Linked DNA regions of Caenorhabditis elegans. Each later gene encodes a partner of the first gene's protein in a complex. Each region holds a gene or a part of one and is shown in the gene's direction. Other genes may lie near its edges.

Evidence for each region.
Region 2: exos-1 (region 1) and crn-5 share a complex: the UniProt entries of both Caenorhabditis elegans proteins name them as parts of the RNA exosome complex.
Region 3: exos-1 (region 1) and dis-3 share a complex: the UniProt entries of both Caenorhabditis elegans proteins name them as parts of the RNA exosome complex.
Region 4: exos-1 (region 1) and exos-4.1 share a complex: the UniProt entries of both Caenorhabditis elegans proteins name them as parts of the RNA exosome complex.

Annotation. Positions count from the first base shown.
Region 1 is NC_003281.10:11,006,100-11,011,106, forward strand, and holds exos-1 (Exosome complex component CSL4 homolog), read left to right. Parts: upstream 1-2,943; 5' UTR 2,944-2,951; coding exon 2,952-3,095; intron 3,096-3,151; coding exon 3,152-3,270; intron 3,271-3,317; coding exon 3,318-3,420; intron 3,421-4,082; coding exon 4,083-4,343; 3' UTR 4,344-4,507; downstream 4,508-5,007. Other genes in the region: fipr-17 (FIP (Fungus-Induced Protein) Related), read right to left, coding at 1,360-1,503; Y48A6B.3 (Putative H/ACA ribonucleoprotein complex subunit 2-like protein), read left to right, coding at 2,132-2,245, 2,296-2,455, 2,501-2,718. UniProt on the Caenorhabditis elegans protein: Non-catalytic component of the RNA exosome complex which has 3'->5' exoribonuclease activity and participates in a multitude of cellular RNA processing and degradation events. Involved in regulation of antisense ribosomal siRNA production.
Region 2 is NC_003280.10:10,590,407-10,594,568, forward strand, and holds crn-5 (Exosome complex component RRP46 homolog), read left to right. Parts: upstream 1-2,345; 5' UTR 2,346-2,355; coding exon 2,356-2,559; intron 2,560-2,605; coding exon 2,606-2,772; intron 2,773-2,819; coding exon 2,820-3,093; 3' UTR 3,094-3,185; downstream 3,186-4,162. Other genes in the region: crn-3 (Exosome complex component 10 homolog), read left to right, coding at 46-568, 994-1,297, 2,019-2,152; C14A4.6 (MARVEL domain-containing protein), read right to left, coding at 3,245-3,291, 3,338-3,527, 3,585-3,709, 3,755-3,809. UniProt on the Caenorhabditis elegans protein: Non-catalytic component of the RNA exosome complex which has 3'->5' exoribonuclease activity and participates in a multitude of cellular RNA processing and degradation events. Involved in apoptotic DNA degradation.
Region 3 is NC_003282.8:10,094,976-10,100,841, forward strand, and holds the start of dis-3 (putative exosome complex exonuclease RRP44), read left to right. Parts: upstream 1-2,226; 5' UTR 2,227-2,232; coding exon 2,233-2,319; intron 2,320-2,366; coding exon 2,367-2,563; intron 2,564-2,736; coding exon 2,737-3,052; intron 3,053-3,370; coding exon 3,371-3,611; intron 3,612-3,834; coding exon 3,835-4,273; intron 4,274-4,330; coding exon 4,331-4,632; intron 4,633-4,750; coding exon 4,751-5,151; intron 5,152-5,866. Other genes in the region: C04G2.5 (BTB domain-containing protein), read right to left, coding at 48-107, 200-250; msp-36 (Major sperm protein 10/36/56/76), read left to right, coding at 458-841. UniProt on the Caenorhabditis elegans protein: Putative catalytic component of the RNA exosome complex which has 3'->5' exoribonuclease activity and participates in a multitude of cellular RNA processing and degradation events. Has both 3'-5' exonuclease and endonuclease activities.
Region 4 is NC_003282.8:13,097,182-13,102,082, forward strand, and holds exos-4.1 (Putative exosome complex component RRP41), read left to right. Parts: upstream 1-1,823; 5' UTR 1,824-1,861; coding exon of another isoform or gene 1,862-1,888; intron 1,889-1,941; coding exon of another isoform or gene 1,942-2,056; intron 2,057-2,105; coding exon of another isoform or gene 2,106-2,292; intron 2,293-2,342; coding exon of another isoform or gene 2,343-2,345; coding exon 2,346-2,477; exon of another isoform or gene 2,478-2,533; coding exon 2,534-2,944; intron 2,945-3,158; coding exon 3,159-3,338; 3' UTR 3,339-3,425; downstream 3,426-4,901. Other genes in the region: dli-1 (Dynein light intermediate chain), read right to left, coding at 1-69, 117-347, 398-648, 693-857, 908-1,003, 1,047-1,405, 1,455-1,549; tin-9.2 (Mitochondrial import inner membrane translocase subunit Tim10B), read left to right, coding at 1,862-1,888, 1,942-2,056, 2,106-2,292, 2,343-2,349; fask-1 (RAP domain-containing protein), read left to right, coding at 3,535-3,631, 4,069-4,154, 4,201-4,447. UniProt on the Caenorhabditis elegans protein: Non-catalytic component of the RNA exosome complex which has 3'->5' exoribonuclease activity and participates in a multitude of cellular RNA processing and degradation events.

The DNA of each region.
Region 1 (5,007 bases):
GTATGCCAATCTATTTTTTGGTATGTCAATCTATTTTTTGGTATGCCAATCTATTTTTTGGTATGTCAATCTATTTTTTGGTATGTCAATCTATTTTTTGGTATGCCAATCTATTTTTTGGTATGCCAATCTATTTTTTGGTATGTCAATCTATTTTTTGGTATGCCAATCTATTTTTTGGTATGCCAATCTATTTTTTGGTATGCCAATCTATTTTTTGGTATGTCAATCTATTTTTTGGTATGTCAATCTATTTTTTGGTATGTCAATCTATTTTTTGGTATGTCAATGTAAATGCTGTATTTTTCAAAAATTCAAAAGTACTATAAAATCATATGAAGCGCTTCTTTTTTATTTTATAAAACTGTTTAGCATTGCCAAATATACCAGAAAATACCAAAAAAAGTATACTAGCTTGTCCGCAAGTATTTTAAAAAATTGATAGAAATATATAAAAGCTGTATTTTTCAAAAATTCAAAAGTGCTGGAAAATCATATGGTTCTAAATTACCAGATTATCCCAAATTTCATAACAAGATTTTCAAGACAATGTTCAACTTTTATTCATAAATTAATTGCTTCAGTTTGAATTATCCAAACTTGGATGGTAGGTCGAATCCCATGATGATATGTCGGTCTGAGGCAGGTCGAATATGGTTAGCTCGAGGTTTTCCAACAACCGACAAGATGGAGAGTACAGCAAACACTAAAACGCAATAAATGTTCATTTGAAGAACCGAAGTGAGGAAAAGGTTTGTGATCGGAAGGCTTTTATTCCACCCACATCGATAAAGTTAGTTCCGGGAGCGGGAGCATCAAAGATGTATGCTTCGATGCTTAAAAACCTTGTGATCATTTGCACGGAAAATATAAGTTTGCAAATACACTCAAATCATACAACGCAAGTCGAATTGTTAATGTTAGGGGTTCCAAAACGCCTGCCTGCCTGACCTTAAGGCGGCCTCCGCCTGCCTCTCGTGAGGCCCTGAAACCGTGCCTGCCTACCTAGCCTCAACTACCTAACAGAAAACTGCTCAATATGTAGGAGCATTTTGGACTAGAAAAATAAATTTGAAATTTTTTAATTTTGTCTCGCACTTCTTTAGAGTCCCGTAGATTAACTCCAATTTGGGATTTTTTTTTTTCAAACTTTCTACTTCAAAGTCCCATTTTATTAGGTCATAGATTTTCCATCTAAGCCTAAGCCTAGGAATTAGCCTAGGCCTAAGCCTCAGTCTAAGCCTAAGCCTAAGCCCTAAAAACTGAAAGGCCTGCGGCGCGATTAACAAGATTATAAGCCCAAAAAACAGAGTTTGAATGTTCAATATTTATCAGTAATCAACAGAAACTGCACAAAAATTATTGTGGACGTGGTGCACCGATGATGACTCCGCTTCCGTATCCACTGCTTCCTCCGCACTTCTTTCCTCCTTGTGGCAAGAAGATTCCAGAAACTGAAGAAATAGCCAAGATGGCGAAGACGCAGACAGAGTAGACGTTCATGATGATGATGAAGAAGAAGAAGATGCTTCTGATGCTTGAATTCTGGAAGAAGTTGGCTTTTATAGTACCGTGTAGGGGGCGGGTGGGGGGTTCGGGGACATAAAATTGTTATATTTTAGTTGCGATTTTGATGATAACTCGTAAAAATTGAAGTTTGAGCGTTTCGGGGAAGCGGAGAGGCTGCAAAACTTGCAAAAATCGGAGTCAGGAACAGTTGAAAATTCAACAAAACGAATTTCCCTGAAAATCTCTAATTTGAATTCCCGCCAACGAATTGTCTGCGTCTCCACTCTCTGGGATGTGGGCGAACGCGCTCCACTGCACATTTCGATTCGATTTCTCTTTTTTCTCTTTTGACGCATTTTCACATAATTATTGTATTTTTCGAAGTTTTCTGCGGGTTTTCTCCGATTTTTTTCGATAAAATTAAATTTTAAAATTCGGAAATATAATATTTATCAATTTTAAGCCATGAAATATCGTAAAATTCCTATGTAATCACCCATAATAGGATTTTTATCGATTTTTTGTTGCAAAAATCCCATTTTCATTGTTTTTCTTTTCCTAAAGCTAATTGAACTTTGCGGCTAATTTACACGATTAACTTATGAATTTTCAGAATCAAAAAATGGGCAAGCGCAATCTGGACGAGACAATGAACGAGTCGACCGTATCAGAAGCCAATGGAGACGCCACCGCACCAACCACCGAGAAGGACGAGTACCAGGCACTTTGCGAGCTGGTAAATCATTAATTTCGCTGGTTTTTTAATGAAAAATGTCTTATTTTCAGGTAAACCCAATCGCTCAGCCACTAGCAAACCGCAAGTTGGCCAAGAAGGTGTACAAGCTCATCAAGAAGGCCTCCGCCGGCGATAAAACCCTCCGTGAGGGCATCAAGGACGTGCAGAAGGAGCTCCGCAGAAACGAGAAGGGAATCTGCATTCTTGCTGGTAGGATTTTAATCTATTTTTCCCTTAAAACGTTCAATTTTTCAGGAAACGTCTCTCCAATCGATGTGTACTCACATATTCCGGGAATCTGCGAGGAGAAGGAGATCCCATACGTCTACATTCCATCTCGTGAGCAGCTCGGACTCGCCGTCGGACATCGTCGCCCGTCGATTCTGATCTTCGTCAAGCCGAGTGGGGACTTCAAGGAGCTGTACGACGAGGTCGCCGAGGCTCTCCGTCATCTCACCGTCGAGGCCGCCTAAATTGTTTTTTCTCTGGTTTTCACTGTTTTTTTTTTGTTGTTGATTTTTTAAAATTTCTTGATCTGTATCACCATCTTTATCCACAATTGTTCACTCATTAAATTGTTGTTATCTACAGACTTTTTCTTTTTATTCTTTAATCCTTTCTCGGTAATTTCCAAAACTCAATTTTGTTACTCGAAATCAATCTAAATCACAGCAAATCCCGTTCTAAACCACTTTCAGCTCAGAAAATGCTCGCCGAAACGCTTGTGGCGCCCGGCGACAAGGTTCTCGACGCGATTGGTGAATATCGAATGGGGAAGGGATTATACGAGGCGAATCGAAGGATCTTCGCGTCGGTAGCCGGTTTTGTCAACGTTTATGGATTCAGAGATGTAATTTTCGCACAAATCGCAAGCGTGGAGCCCGAAAATTTCCGTTTTTTCTGCAGAAATCCGACAACCTGGTGCAAGTGATCGAAGTTCGCCGCAGCGAAGATCAGCTCGACAATGAGCTTCTCCCATTCCACGGAGCCATCGTCACCGCCAAAGTGATGGCTGTCGGATTACGGTAGAGCAGCTTTTCGTTGCTCTGAAAACCGACAGAAAATATTGCAGATTCGCCAAATGTGACATCATCAGTATCGGCGATAAGGTTTACAAGAAGCGGTTCTCGGCGCTGCTGCCGAAAAAGAAGCTGAGGCCGCTGGAACCTGAATTGGTTGGATTTTGCCTGGATTGTGGGTCTCGCCACGAAAAAATTAAGAATTTCTGCTTACAAATGTGGGAAAAACCTTTTTTTTAGCAGAAAATTAGGTTTTTTTGCGAAAATTCTTATGAAATTTCGCATAAAAATGGCCGATTTTAAGGTTTTTTGCAGAAAAGTCGTCAAAATTCCTGATTTCTTGTGGAAACATCGGAAAAACATTGATTTTAGACTGATTTTCACTAAATTTCAACTGAAATTCTCGGTTTTTTACTCAAAAAACAAATTTCCCTCTTTTTTCTTATTTTAAAGCGATTTTCGAGCAAAATTTTTTTTTAAACATTAGATATGGGCCGAAATCGTGGCGAGACCCAAACTGAGAACCCAAGTAGTGTATCGCACAGAAAAAGAGGCGGAGCTTAAATTCGCAACCCTGCGGCACGGGGTTTCCTTCCTTTTTCGCATGTTTTACACTGATTTTTGTTGATTTTTTTCAATGAAGTTTAGATTTTACTAACTAAGAAGTGAAATTTTAAAAAATCAATAAAAAATGCAGTAGAAAACTGGCAAAAAGGTGGAAAAACCGTGCCGGAGGGTTGCGAAATTACGCTCCGCCTCTTTTTCTGTGCGATACTGCTTTAGAGGCAAAAAATTGAAATAAAGAGCATTTTTTGCAGAGTGAGCCATTCAAAAACTTTGTGCGACCCAACGACTACATTCTGGCAAAAGTTTGTGAAGACGCCGAAATCAAGGACAAATTCGTTTTATCGATCGCCGAAGACGAGCTAGGCGTTGTGCTGTGCCGTGGACGATTTGGTGAACCAATGCAAAAAGTCGACTGGAATACGGTGGTCTCGACACGAACCGGCAAAACGGAACCCAGGAAAATGGCCAAAGTTCCGCAAAAGTGCACATTGCCCACGCAATCGGTGGCCTGAATAATTATCCTCTCTGAAAAGATCTTTGAATCGTTATATTTTTGTACTTTTTTTTGTGTTTTTGGGGGCCATTGTTTCGAGGAAAAAAAAGTCATAATTGTTCCCCCACTCATTCCTTCCTTTTTTGTTGAACAATTTTTCAAAAAAAAAAAAATGTTTCTCGGTTTTTTTTTTTCAACTTTTCAGGTTCTAGAATTTTTAGTTTTTCCATTTTTCCGGCGGAAATTTTTTTTATAATTTCAATTTTCAAAAAAGAGTAACTGAAATTGTGCGAAAATTCAAATTAGCCCAGTAACCGCGCCCTATTGAGAATTTACCGGTCTCGCAGCGAAATGTTGACTTTTTTCTTTTGAATTGCTTATAAACCAAGAAATTCGGCGATTTTTGTGAAAATATAAAGTTTTCGGTCTGGACACAACAAATTTTTGTTAAATGCAAAAAGGTGTGCGCCTTTAAAGAGTACTGTAGTTTCAAAATTTCGTTTCTGCCGAATTTAAATCGATTTTCCAAATTTTTTCTCACGATTTGTTTAGCTTTTTGCTAAAAAAAACATACGTTTTCATCAAAAAACTGTGAAAAATCTCTCAAAATTATGCGACAACTAAAGTTTGAAGCTACAGTACTCCTTAAAGGCGCACACCTTTTTGCATTTAACGAAAATTTG
Region 2 (4,162 bases), on another chromosome or scaffold:
GACTCAAAAGACCTCATAATAAATATTCTAATTATAAAATTACAGAATAATTGTGGAGGCCAGAGATGTGAAGCTTGAGAAAGTGGGATTGTCGGCGAAAGAAAGAAATGATGCACAGGAAGCACGAGGTGTAATGAACGATACTATGGATCATATCACTTCAGTTTTAAAATCAAAAATCGACTTTTCACACACTAGATTTGACGAAGAACGCGGAGAAATTTATATTGATAAGACAGATGAAGGAATGGATATCGAGCTGAAAGATCATAAAGAATCATTGTTATCAGTGCTCCAAACGGCTGAAATTCCAAGTGTGGAAACTATGATTGTTGTGGAAAAAGGAAAGAAATCGGATAATCAGAAAGTTAAAAAGTTGTTGAATGAACTTGACAAATTTGTAACTCCATTTGAATGTTATCAAATGATGATGATTACAAAAGAAAAGCAAGAAGAAGAAGAGAGAAAAGAGGCTGAGAGAAAGAAATTGGAGGAAGGTGATCTACCGAAGACTATGTTCTCACATCATGATGCTCCGATTAATAGAAAACCTGAATTCGATGCGAAGGTTGGTAGATATAATGAAATCTGAAAAAAATCGTTTTTTTTTTTGGGAAAAACCGAAAAAAAATGTCTGAAAAGAAAATTCCAAAATCGGTATTGCTCATACGGAATTCAGAGATTGCTTTATTCTTAAAAAAAAATTTTCGGCGGAAAAACGTACAGATTTGATAGAAAATTTTTTTTTTTCGATTTTCTCTGAAAAAAATTTAGTAAAAAAACTTTAAAAAAAAATTATCTGAAAAAATCACTAAAATCTTTTTTTAATTTTCTCTGAAAAAATAAATAAAAATGAATTTTTTTTCGATTTTCTCTGAAAAAATCAGAAAATAAAACTTCTTTTTTTTCGATTTTCTCAAAAAAAAAATAAATGAAAAAAAATATATTTAAAAATTCCGATGACATCCTTGGTTTTAATAAGATAATTTTCAGCTTCTAAACGTTGATACACTGAAGCTGGTCCCAGATGATCCGAACAAGCCGAAAGATCCAGAACCTTCACCAATGGAAGAATCTTCATCGGAACCTCAAATCTTCGATCCATCTCGTTTTACCGACGACCAGCTACTGTCAAAGAAGGCAATGAAAAGAAAGAGAGATGCTGCTCGACGAAATATAGATGTTTCTGTTGTGCTCGGCGAGTCGTCGAGTAGTTCAGATCCAAAAAAGAAAAAATCTGATGATGATGCTCCCGTTGAAGATTTTGATTATGAAAAAGCTGATAGTAGTGCATTTGGTAAGTTATATTCCTTTGAATTATCCAGACGCGAGATTTAAGGCTAAAAATACGGTACCAGGTCGCGACAACTTGCAAAATGGTGTGCGCCTTTGAAGAGTACTGTAGTTTCAAATTTTCGTTACTGGGAAATTTTCTTCGGTTTTATTTTAGTTTTTTAATAAATAAATTTAAAACTAAAAAAAATTCCGCAGCAACAAAAGTTTGAAATTACAGTACTCTTTAAAGGAGCACACCAGGGCTGGGACAAAAAATATTTTTGAACAAAAAACCAAAATTGAAATTTACGAATTTGCGAAAAACGAACAAAAACCAAAAAAAGTTGATGCTTGAATTTATTTTTCAAAAAAATCGTGAATATGTGAAAATGTATTGGTTTTTCAAAAAATATTTTTGTTGGTCTGAAAAAAAAAACAAAAAAATCAATTTTTCGTCAAAATACAAGAAATATTTCAATTTTTGTTGAATTCCAACAAAAAAACCCAAAAAAAAATCAATGTTATTCGTCGAAGTGCCAATAAAAGCTATTAAAAAACCCAAAAAAAAAAATTCAAAATACCAAAAAAAAACACCAAAAAATCAATTTTTCGTTAAATTCCAAAAAGAACCGCAAATTTGCAAAAAAAAAACGTTTTCTGGCTCAAAATTTGGATAATACCGTACCCAATTATATAGCTCTCAAAAAAGTCTCGAAATCAAATTCCTAATAAATTATTTCCAGAAAAACCTGTTCGAGACAACAACGCCGATTTCGATCCATTCCATCAAAAATATCGATTGAAGAACAAGACAAAGAAGAATATGGCTATGAAAAAATCATCGAATCGACAAGGAACCATCAACTACAAAAAATGATTAAATTGTTACATCCCATCCCATTACCATTGTTATTTTACTTTTTGTTGTTGTGCTTTTTCTTTTGCTTTGAAATTAAAGAAAACTGTTTTTGAAATCTTTTTATTTATTTATTTTTAATTCAATTTGGTTTTCCACCAATTTCAGTTATATTTTCTACAAAATTCATTTTTGTGATTAATTTTGATTTCAGATATCCCCAAATGGCCGGCAGACTTCGTGAAATGCGTTGTGAGCTCTCGTTCCTCAAAAACGCGGATGGCTCGGCATGCTTCTCCCAGGGTGCCACGTGTATTTGGGCTTCATGCAGTGGTCCTGGAGATGTTCACGCTTCGAAAGCAAGTGATGAGGCTATGACTCTGGATATTAGTTATAGAGCAAATTGTGGAGATAACAAGTTCAATGTGGTAGGGGTTTTTGTAGAAATTACTTTTGGAATAATTCTTTTTTCAGCTGAACAATATCATTCATTCTACTCTATCCAATGCAATCAATCTCGAATTGTTTCCCCACACAACAATTTCTGTCACAGTACATGGAATTCAGGATGATGGAAGTATGGGAGCTGTAGCGATAAATGGAGCTTGTTTTGCTCTACTTGACAATGGAATGCCATTCGAGTAAGTTTTTTTAGATACTGTTTTAAAACTGTAATATAATTTTTCAGAACAGTCTTCTGTGGTGTCCTTATTGTTCGTGTCAAAGATGAGCTGATTATTGATCCGACAGCAAAACAAGAAGCTGCATCGACTGGAAGAGTGCTCTTTTCAGTGTGCAAAGGATCCGATGGACATCCAGAAGTGTGTGCGATGGACGCTATAGGACATTGGGATTTTATTCAGCTGGAAGCCGCGTGGTCATTGGCACAACCATCTGCCAGTGCTATTTTTGATTTCTACAAAACTGTGATGAAGAGGAAGCTTTCGGTTGATGAGCAATAGATTATCAATGTTTTGTTGTTGTCGTTGTTGATTTTAATTTTTTATTTAATTTTGAATCCATTGTTTTGTGAGATATTAAAATCTTAAATTTCAAAGTCGAAGTTTTTGTAGAAATGTGACAAGAGAAGGTATTTAGGTATTTAAGAATAGGTTAAGCTTCAGATCCATAATTTGAATATTCGTAGACTCCAGCCGGATCTGAAATAAAAATGGTGAATTTTCAAAATAAGAAAAAAAATCTCACTCAAATGATGTGATCCATTATTCCATCTTCGAACATTTACAACCAGATTGAACACGTGGATGAGTGCAATAATAAAACAAAAAATTGCGACCACCAAAAATCCGAAATCATCAGTCACTTCTTCACTACTAATCGATATTGCCATGGAGATAACATAGCAAATAATTGCAAGAATCGATCCAATACATTCCTAGAAATTCAAATTTCCGTGTAGTTTCACGTGTGCCCCATCGATGCCCGAACTTACAATTGCTGCATACGGTAGCATTCGAATCGCCATTATTGAGATATCGTACTCCTTGAGAAGTACTGCAATTGTGCAAATATCGAAGACGATGGAGCATCCAATTGTGAACCAAATTACTGACATTCCTGAAAAAAGAGGTTTTACGAGAAATTTTAGTACAAAAATCGAACCTGGTGGTCGGAACTTGATGGTTCCAAGGTAGATGAGTAGTGTCAAAGATCCCAGCTAGAATTATTTTATATTTTTATATTACATAGGCGTCTAAATATGATAATTTTTGCGGATGGGTCTCGCCACGCGAATAACGAGTTACTGTAACTCTGTGCCTACGAAGGATGGAGGCCCGTAAATCGACACGAGTTACAGTAACGCGATTTTCGCGTGGCGAGACCAATGCGCGAACATTCGCATCAGACGTCTACGTATTACTAGAACATAAAATTCTGAGACTGCGTATTGCGCAACATATCTGACGTGCAAAATAAACTTCATCAATAAACTATGAAAACATCGCAAAATCGGACCAGCGCTACAATAGTCATTTAAAGAATTACTGTAGTTTTCGCTACGAGATATTT
Region 3 (5,866 bases), on another chromosome or scaffold:
GAAAATTTGTTAGTGCTATTCAAATAAAAAATTCAAGTTCAACTCACTATTACCAAAGAAGCGTCTGAATTTATTGATAGCCTATCAAATTGAGTAGTCATGTTGTTCTATAAAATATCAAAATTTTTATTAAAAAATTTTTATTAAGCTTCTAGACTTGAACTGGTTCTAACTGAATGTTATAATTGAATAAACTCACATTTATATCACAGAAACGATCTGATTTTGACTTATCGTCGTGATTATCCATTTTTGAAACAAGACGAGAGAATGAAGTAATGAATAATATCATCGGGAATTTTCCCGAATAAACTTTAAATTTCCCCGTGAAATCTCATTACCCTTTTCCACGTTTTGTAGTCTATAGATCTGGGACAGTGATAAGAAGGTTGCTATAAATTGAGAATATTTTGCCATAATCTTCATAGAGTTTTCATAACTCCTTCATCGAACGACCATGGCCCAATCCGTCCCACCAGGAGACATCCAAACCCAACCAAACGCGAAGATCGTCTTTAATGCTCCATACGATGACAAGCACACCTATCACATCAAGGTGATCAACTCATCGGCTCGTCGTATTGGATATGGTATCAAGACCACCAATATGAAGAGACTTGGAGTTGATCCACCATGTGGAGTTCTCGATCCAAAGGAAGCTGTGCTTCTTGCTGTTTCCTGCGATGCTTTCGCCTTCGGACAAGAGGATACCAACAACGACCGTATCACTGTTGAGTGGACCAACACCCCGGATGGAGCTGCCAAGCAATTCCGTCGTGAATGGTTCCAGGGAGACGGTATGGTTCGTCGCAAGAACCTTCCAATCGAGTACAATCCATAGGATGTGTGAACTGGGTTTCTTAACAATAAACTTTTTTCAAGTATATGTTCTGTTTTTCTGTTTTAATCTGCAAATTGAATATATATTAATACTCAAGCGAACAAGTTTTGTGTTCCATCGATGCCCTTAACATAAGCATCCGGGATTTATTGTAAATCGTTTGGAACTATAGTAATCCTACCTTAATCTTCCAGTAGTCATTCAGTTCAGAAGACTACCCAACCATACTACTAACCCAGCCCATCTCTCCAAAACCTGAAAGCTGTTTTGCTCCGTAAAGGTCGAGGAGGGTGTATTTTTCTTACAAATCAAAGAAATTAACAAGTGAACCGATCACAACTTTTTTTGCTGATATGAGAGAAAAATACTTTATTGATTGGTTCGAGTAAATTTTCGAATTTTCGAAAAAGGAAAGATCCCTGGTATATAATGTCTCAGCTCTGCTATGTATTTTTCTATTTGAAATTCCGAATTCAAATTTTCTCTAGATGAAAGCCTTGGTATTGAATTCTATGCTGGGTTTAGTAAATTTTCGAATTTTCGATAAAAATTATATAATGAAGAAAAATATCCAAATTGGAGGTATTTTAATTTTAGAATACGGGAACGAAGAAGATCAAGATCACATACAAAGTTTAATGGATCTGAAGACATTTCAATTTATCTGGGTAGAACCAATTCTTCAACTCCAAATTCTACAGTAACCGATTCTTAAACATCTTATGGAAGTCCATCGAGATATGTATTTCATTATCATGTTCTTACCCGTTTTTTTTCAATAATGAGATTCTATATTTCGCTTAATGTTTTTATTGTTCTTATTGCTTCCAAAAATTAACATTAAAACAATAAATATTTTGCATCTTGACAAATTTAACATTTTAAAGTCTGGTCAGATTTCATCCTTGAGGACAGTGCTGTGTCTACATACATGAAAAAAAATCAAAAAGTGGCGATTATTTAGTTTCATCCGCATTAAATTTTGTAAGACAAAAAAGTTTGGCAATTTACCAAATCTATGACTGAAAAATTTTCAAAAATCTAAAAACGTTTTGAGCATTATTTTTTAAGGTTATGAGGCCCTAGATAATCATGTTTCCTACCCGATTATCTATTTTAGATGTTTAAACTTCCGTTTTCATGATTTTAGCCATACTCTATTTAGATATATTCTTCCTTTTCATTTCATTTTTCCTCGCAGCTGCGATGGCAGTGTTGTTCGAAGTGTTCGTTTTCGTAGTGCCTACGACACTCCGATGTTCCACTCGCGCGTGTTGTTCACCGTAAATGTACACTGAGTTTTTCTTCGAATAAAATAGTTTTTCCTTCATTTTTCACCTGATTCGTGCGATTTTATTTGTTTTTCACACGTATTTTCATTATTTGAAGGTATGGATTTGAACGTCAAACAAAGTGGAATTCATTCCGTCGCTTTGCACACGACTTACTTCCAAAATCGCTCGGGGAAAGTCTATAAAGTGAGAAAACCTCTCCGAAATCACCTAACCCAATTAAAATTTTGCAGAGAGCCGAAGAAAGATATCTACGAAATGATCTTTCATGTGGACTTGCTCAATGTGGAACCTGCAAGGATTTCGGCACAAATCCGCTGTTAAAAATTGAAAATCCCGTAAGAAATGCGAAAGTTGGAAGGCACGCGCTGATTGTGGATTCCACATCATTAATCAGATTCTACGATTTGTTTGATTCGTCTTTATTGAGGTAATGAATTAAAATTACAGCGGAATCATTTAAATGTAGATGGTTCTACTGTCCAATTATTAAATTCTTAATTTGTTGCTCCAAATTCAGTTTTTAGAAGTTGTCGGGATTGTAACAAACATCTAGTTTCAATTAAAAACTCTGTAAAATAATAAATTATATTTAATTTTCAGAGATCTCATCGTAACCCAGACTGTATGGGAAGGAGTCAAAGCAAAAGCTGTACCAGCCTACAAGAAAATGAATTCTTTGTGTTATGAAGATGCGAAAGACAGATTTCACGTGTTCATGAACGAATTTCACTGCGAGACCTTCTCCGAATCATCGAAATTTGAGGATTTGAGTCGTGGCGAAGAGCTTCTACTTTCAACAGCTCTTTACTTGAAAACTCATTGGCAGAAGCATAACGTGGCTCCTGTTGTCTTAGTTTTTGATGAAGATTCGAAAAAAAGAATGGAAAATCACTACCAACACGTGATGTATTTAAAGGTTAATAGTCGAAAAGTTCAAAACTCTGTGGATCTTTTCTGAAACTGGCGAAATTTCGAAAAAGAGCCAAATTTTGTTAAAAGAAAATTTTTGATTTCTTAAGACTCATAATGAAATTCTGTCGTTCCGAGCTAGTTTCAGACTATTTCAGCCAAAAACCCTAAAATATACACCTCTTTAACATATTTTCGCCGTAACTAAACTTTTATTCAACTAAAAATCATGATCCTTAATCAAAAATTGTATAATAAAGTACAATAAAGTTTGAAAAATGATCCAGTAACCCCGTAGAAAAAGAAAAAATCTCCAAATTTTCAGGAATACATACAAAATTTGGAGGATCCAGGAAAACAAGCACTTTTGGATCAAATGGCTGCGTATGAAAGCTCTGGAAATGGAAATGAGAAACAAATTTTCGATGAATATCTATCGCATGATAGAATTATGGAGGGAATTGCCAGTGGAACGATCAAAAGAGGAAATTTCAGTGTTTCAAGAGAAAATTATCGCGAAGCTACTGTTATTATTGATGATCAGTTAACATCTTGGTTCATCACAGGTGCTTGAATTTAGTTGAAATATTTATTTTCGAAAACCAACCAAATTTTTCACACAAGTCATTACTTTTTGCTGAGAATTTTAAAAAAACTTTTTTATAACGAAATTAGGTGGTTTTCGGTCATTTTGAGCGAAACAACTCTGAAATTATATTTTTAAAAAAGGTGAAATTTTTCCAAAAATTCCAATTCTCTGAATAATAAAATTTTTATTTCGAATTTTAGGAAATAATTGCAATCGTGCCGTCAATGGAGATACCGTCGCAGTTCAACTTTTGCCAGAAGACCAATGGACTGCTCCAGAGAAGAAAATTCGACTCCGTGACGTTGAAGAATATGTTAAAACTGCAGATGACATGGGAAATGAAGACGAGGAGAATGATGACGAGAACGATGAGCCAAAAGCTAAAAAGTCGAAGAAAATGACTGTTTCAACTGCAAAAGTTGTTGGAATTATCAAAAGAAATTGGCGTGAATATTGTGGAATGTTGCTGCCAAGTACAGTGAAAGGAGCCAGAAGACACTTGTTCTGTCCAGCTGAACGACTTATTCCAAGAATTCGAATCGAGACGGAACAGGCTGAAACTTTATCACAGCAGAGAATTGTGGTGGCTATTGATCACTGGCCAAGAGATTCCAAGTATCCACTTGGACATTACGTCAGGTATGTGAAATTTCAGAAAATCTTGAAATATTTTAACGGAATGACTGTTGTTTTCAGATCAATCGGAGAGATGGGATCCCGTGAAACTGAAAATGAGGTTCTCCTTCTCGAACATGATATTCCACATGCTCCATTCTCAGAATCTGTTCTTGATTGTCTACCACGTGAAGAATGGGAACCAGATCTCACTGAAAACCGCGGCCCTCTACCACGTGTTGATTTGAGAGATTTAACAATTTGTTCAGTTGATCCACTTGGATGTACAGATATTGACGACGCATTACACTGTAAACAAATTGGAGAGGATCTTTTCGAAGTTGGAGTTCATATTGCAGATGTCACGCATTTTGTTAGACCAGGTAAATATACTGAAATTATTTAAAAATTCAAGTTTTACTAAAAAAAATGTTTGTCCTTTGAGGTTCGAATAAAACCTCATTTATTTTCAAAAAAAGAACCAAAATTTCCTACGTTTAGGAACCGCAATCGACGATGAAGCAGCATTACGTGGAACTACAGTATACCTTTGTGATCGTCGTATCGATATGCTTCCATGTCTGCTCAGTTCCAATTTGTGCTCACTTCGCGGAGAAGAAGAGCGTTATGCATTTTCGTGTATTTGGACAATGACTTCTAGTGCTGATATACAATCAGTTAAATATCACAAATCTCTAATTAAATCAAAAGCTGCATTGACTTATGAGAAGGCACAAGAGATTATTGACGATCCAAAAGAGCAGAATGACGTGGCATTGGGATTACGTGGATTGATGAAATTGTCGAAAGTTTTGAATGCGAGAAGAACTGGAAATGGAGCATTGACGTTGGCATCGAGTGAAGTTCGCTTTGATATGGATTGGGAGTCCAGAACACCAAAGGTTTAAAATTTAAAAAATATTACAAAAAAAAAAGTTATATTCAAATTCAAAGAAGAAATATATTTTATACAACAGAGCGACCTAGAAACTGATTTTCATTTAGATTATTACAGTAATCTCTCATTAGAGCGCGCTTGCGAAATTTCCAGTTCTTTTTTGCTAACTTTTAAACCATTTTAAACCAATAAAAATGATTTAGATCAGGCAATATCCCTCAAAATGATTTTTATTTGAAAACATTTCTTGGGAGTTTTGTGAAATTTGTTTTAAAAATACTCAGACAACCCTATTTCTCATCTAATTAGAAAAATAGGATGAACTAACGCGCACCAGTTCGGCATGCTTTTTTTCTAATTCGACGCGCATTGTTTCTAATTCGACGAGCATCCCTTCTAATTAGATGTGGTGTGCGTGTTTTCTAATTAGATATGCATCCTTTCTAATTAGAAAATCCTTTTCTAATTAGATGTGGTTAATTTCTTATTAGATGTGGCTATTTTCGAATTAGATGAAAAATGGGGTTGTCTGAGATACTTGGCTTATGTATGCTGTTGCTGATCAAAAATGATCAAAAACTTACATATTTATTGTGCAAAAGATGTATGTGAAAAACGAATTGTGTTTAATAATCGTAGAAAATCGCAATGTTTTGTATAAATGTGCTCTAAATTTCACCAATGGAGTATAACCAGAAAAACATGATTTTAAACAGGGA
Region 4 (4,901 bases), on another chromosome or scaffold:
GGCCTGGGTGGCTGCGGCATCCATCGGCTGGGAAACAGTGGAAGGAGAGCTCACCTTGCTCGGCTTGTCCTGAAATATGGAAATTCACATAGAAAAAAGATCTAAGATTGATTTACCTTATTGAGCAAGTTGGAGAAGAAATTGGCGAGTGGACTGTCCTTATCGGTAGGCTCTTCTTGCATAGTCCTCGGCTTGGGAGCGGCCGTAGTGGTTGAAGTTGCCAGGATGTCCATCAACTTCTTCAAGAAAGCCTGATCTTCCTCGGCTTCGATGAGCTGCTCTTTTGCGACAGGTCTAAGCTTATCGCGAGTCGGCTCTAAAGCTGAATCCACATCCGGAATAGACTCCTGAAATTAATCATGAACTCGGATTCTCCAATTACTTATGTAAAACTTACACGAATAATATCGATCTTTTTCTCTCCGTCCCATCCAGCTGGAACAAAGATCGACTCTCTTTCAATCACTTGAGCTGCACTGGTAAAAGCCGTGCCAAAAGATCGATGTACAATGTACTTTTGGAGGAGCTGAATATTTTTAGTCTCTTTTGCGCTGGTGAAGACAAGAGTCGCTCCGAGACTGAGGCAGAATTTTCTCAGTTGAATGCTGATCTTCGCGAATTGAGCATCTGTGAATTCCTTTCCTAAAACTTTTGCAAACATCATTTATTTTATTTTTCTTTAAATAATATACCCAGGTCAGATTTGGTAATGACCACCATGAACGTGACTCCACAGTTCTCAGTAAGAGTTCCTTGGTCGAGAGGAAGAAGGTTGTGCTCATCGGCGAAACTTCCAACTACGGAAGTGCTCATTTGTGATTGAACCGGATCCACATACTCTTGCCACATTTTTTCTTCTGGAAAAAATTATTTTAAATTGCATGAAGTAAAGAGTTTATAAGCTTACGTTGAGATCTACCGGCTTTCAAGTCTTCTTTGGTGAAATGTTTCTGAGCTTGCTCGGTGCACACATTTGCCCATCTTTTCAAGGAATGAATGAGATCTGAATAATTAAATACTTATTTATTTGAATATATAATACTTACTCGGATTATCAATGCTCGCGGTAAGAATGAAGATAGCTTCCGCGGGAGTTGCTGGAAGAGCATGTTTCAGAAGGGAAGCACACGCCGCATTCCCATCCAAAGACCAGACAGGGATTTGAAGCAACTCTGATGGATTGAGATTGGCTCCGGCTGTTCCCAGTTGATATGCATAACTGGCGTCACGAGCATCATTTTGCACGTGGAGCACACGATATCCAAGTAGTGATTTTGGCTTCACGGTTCTATCAGATTTGTCCAGACGGGAAAGAAGAGACGACTTTCCGCTTCGGTTGTCCCCCAGAACAATCACCGTGCTGCCTTGATTCGTGTTTGTCTTTTTGGAAGCAAGGAGCTCTCGCCTGAAATATGATTTTCAAATAGTATATTTCGTAATAATACAACAAATACCAAATTCCGACTTCTTCGTCTGTCGAAGAATACAAAACCGGAAGCACAGCATTTGCTGTATCATCAAACTCCAGTGGTTGCGCAGTTGGTGGCATTTTCTCGAAGAAAATCAATTTTTTTTTAAAATTTAATTTAAATGAAATTAAACTCAAGTCCCTCGGAGAAGTTCGTCTGCGTCTCCGCGACAAGTACACTCTCTATGCTTCGTGGAAAGATATTGAAATCATGAAAAGCGCTGCGCCTTTAAACTTCCGCAAACACCGTGACGGTAAAATACACAGAAACTTTTTGTTTTTTTTGTTGCATTTTGCATGCAAATTTTTTCTCTTTATTTAATTTTTTACTCATTTTCTTAACTTCAAATTTCAGATTATTCTCATTTCGGGGCGTTGACTGTTTTATGCTTTATGAATACTATTCAAAATATTCAACAGGTGCTCAGAAAAAAGGAAAATCCTCTCCCGCGCATTTATGTCTTTAATTTCAGCTTCGTGAATTTCTAACCGTCTACAACACTCTCAGCGAACGTTGTTTCAACGCCTGCGCTCGTGACTACACCACATCAACACTCACAAAGGACGAAGGGTCCTGTGTCAGTCAATGTAAGATTTATTGTATTGTATAAACACGATTTTGTAATCAAAATTTCAGGTATTGACAAGCAGATGCTAGTGAACCGTCGGTTTATGCTAGTATTCGCAGAACAAGCACCAAAAGCACTTTTCAAGCAAGGAGAGCAATCGCCAACCGAAGCAATCAAATCCGCTAAGCCAGAGCCAGCGGTCCCAGCTCCAGAAGCCACTCCTGTTGAAACTACTCCAGTTATTGAAGAAAATAAGTGAGATTTTCCATAATTTCTTTTAAAAAATCACGAATAATCTTTTGCAGACAATGAACATCATCTCTGAACATGGTTTCCGTATTGACGGCCGCCGTCCCGCTCAGATTCGTAACATTAACACTCGTCTTGGCTTGAACAGAAATGCGGAGGGAAGCTGTTATCTGGAACATGGTAATACCAAGGTTGGTTTTTTTTTAAGTTTTGAATTTAATTTCAAGTTACATTATTCTCTTTTCAGGTTCTTTGTGCAGTTTATGGTCCGTATGAAGGCAAATCGTCAAAAAGAATCGAAGATAAATGTGCCATTGTTTGTCAGTATAGTGCAACAAAGTTTTCGGGACTTGAAAGAAAAAATCGTACACGTGGAGATCGAAAATCAACTGAAATCAGCAGACTTCTTGAGAAAGCATTCGAATCAGTTATTCTGACGGAAGCATTTCCTCGATCACAACTTGATATTTTCTGTGAAGTAATCCAAGGAGACGGCTCCAACCTGGCCGCCTGTGTCAATGCAACTTCTTTGGCTCTTGCTGATGCAGGAATCCCAATGAAAGGCATCGCATCTGCAGCGACGTGTGGTGTTGTCGATGGAAAACCAATTGTTGATCTTACTTCTAGAGAAGAAACTGATCTCCTTCCCAGAGTTACTGTATGTTTAGGCTGAAAAATTGTCTAATTTAATGAATTTTGTAATGAGACTTCTCAAAAATTGCCGTAATTTCAATATTCCGGGAACCGAAATCATATTTTGGTTGCTATTCTAAAAAAAAAAATGTCCAAAATTTTAAGTTATTTTCCGAAAAATCGGGAAAAAACACAAACTTTCGATTTTTCGTTAAAAAATAATTGCTTAAAATTTTCAGCTCGCCACAATCTGCGGTCGTGACGAAGTGATTCTCGTGGAACTTCAAAATCGTCTTCACATTGATCATCTTTCCACAGTCATGGATGCAGCGAAAGCCACGTGTGCTGACGTGTACGAATGTCTCGCAGTAGTTGCTCAGCAACATCTGAAAGCTTGTGCTCCGATTCTAGGCAATTAGCTGTTCTTTTTTTCTTATTCATTGTTGTTTTGAGTTGTTATTCCTTTTTTTTTAAACCCATTTTTTGCAGTCGATAAATCAGTTTTTTCAAATTTAATCTTAGAAATTTTGTAAAATTTTATATGTTTCCGTCTCATTTTCGTACTTTTCTTGTTCAAATCTTGATATTTTTTTAAAAAAATTGCAAATATCTAGAATGTGGAGCCGTGGATTACCCACGCTTTGCAGGACGATTCCGTGTCGTCAGTTTTCCGTCGCAGCTCAAAGTGGAGCTGGTCCTGCAGAAATTGATGGTAGGTGCAGATTTTTTTTGCTCTAAATGGCCAGAATTTTATTAAAATTGTCAAAAAAATTTCAAAAAATAGCTAATTTCCGCTAGAATCTCCAACTTGACCAACTTTAGAGCGGCCGGAAAATAATTTTAATTCGATTATTGTGCTACTTTGGTTTATTTTACGTTATTTCGTAAATTTAGGGTAATTTTAAGCAAATTTGGCTTTAAATGTACCAATTTTTACGAAAAAACATGTGATAAATGACCAAAATAAGACAAAAATTTAATAAAAGGGAAATTTGGCAAAATATTTGAAAAATTTTGCGAAATGTGAGATTTTAGCTAAAATCAAGTGTTTTTCGACATTTTTGAAGTTTCGCAATAAGCTTTTCGGGTTATTTTTAGTAAAAAAAAGTAGAATAATGCAAAAAACATCAAAAAATATTTGAATTCCAGATTTCCTCCATTCCATCGCCGCTGCTCCAACACAGAAGCTCGTGAAAAACAGAACTGTATTAGAAACTTCGACGGAATTTTTCAAGGTACTCAATAAGCTTAAGCTCCATTTAAATTGTTCAATTATTTAAGTGGCTCGAACAAAATCCCATAAAATCGATTGATCAATTCATCACAGCTGCACAAATGGCTATCACTGTGAAATCAACGGAACAAAATAAGGCGTTTTCGAAAATTGATGATATTGCGAAGAAAGTTCTGCCGAAATTCTATGAAAATTTTGGACCGAAGGAGACAGTGGATGCATTGCGATTTGTTTTGCAGCTGAATTCAAAGGGAAAAGTCTCGACGGATATTCAGAATTTGTTCCTTGAAAAAAGTATGATTTATCCAACAAAACTACTTATTTGAATATGATAATTCTACTTTTTTGATCTAAAATTGATTTTAAAAAATGTAGAAAAAGATTCGCTCCATCTGAAAATAATTTTTAGTTTTGTTGAAAATGAAAAATTGGAAATTTTGTTAGTTTTTTGATAATATAATGTTTAATTGACTTAAAAACACATTTTCATTTAAAAAAAATTCGGCAAAAATCGACGAAAATTAAGGAAACTCGTTGAAAACAGAAATCAGCATCTGATAAAGATTAAAATTCTCGTAAATCGACACATGGCTCGTCTCTGGCGCGAAAATTCGGCGTTTGAAAAATCTCATTTGGACGCAAGTGAAAGGAGAAAATTTGGAGTGATTCAAAAATATTTTTCTCAGATTTCGGTGCTCAACCTAAAGGTAGAGGTGAGGCCTAGTGGCCTTATTTAAATTTTTCAACA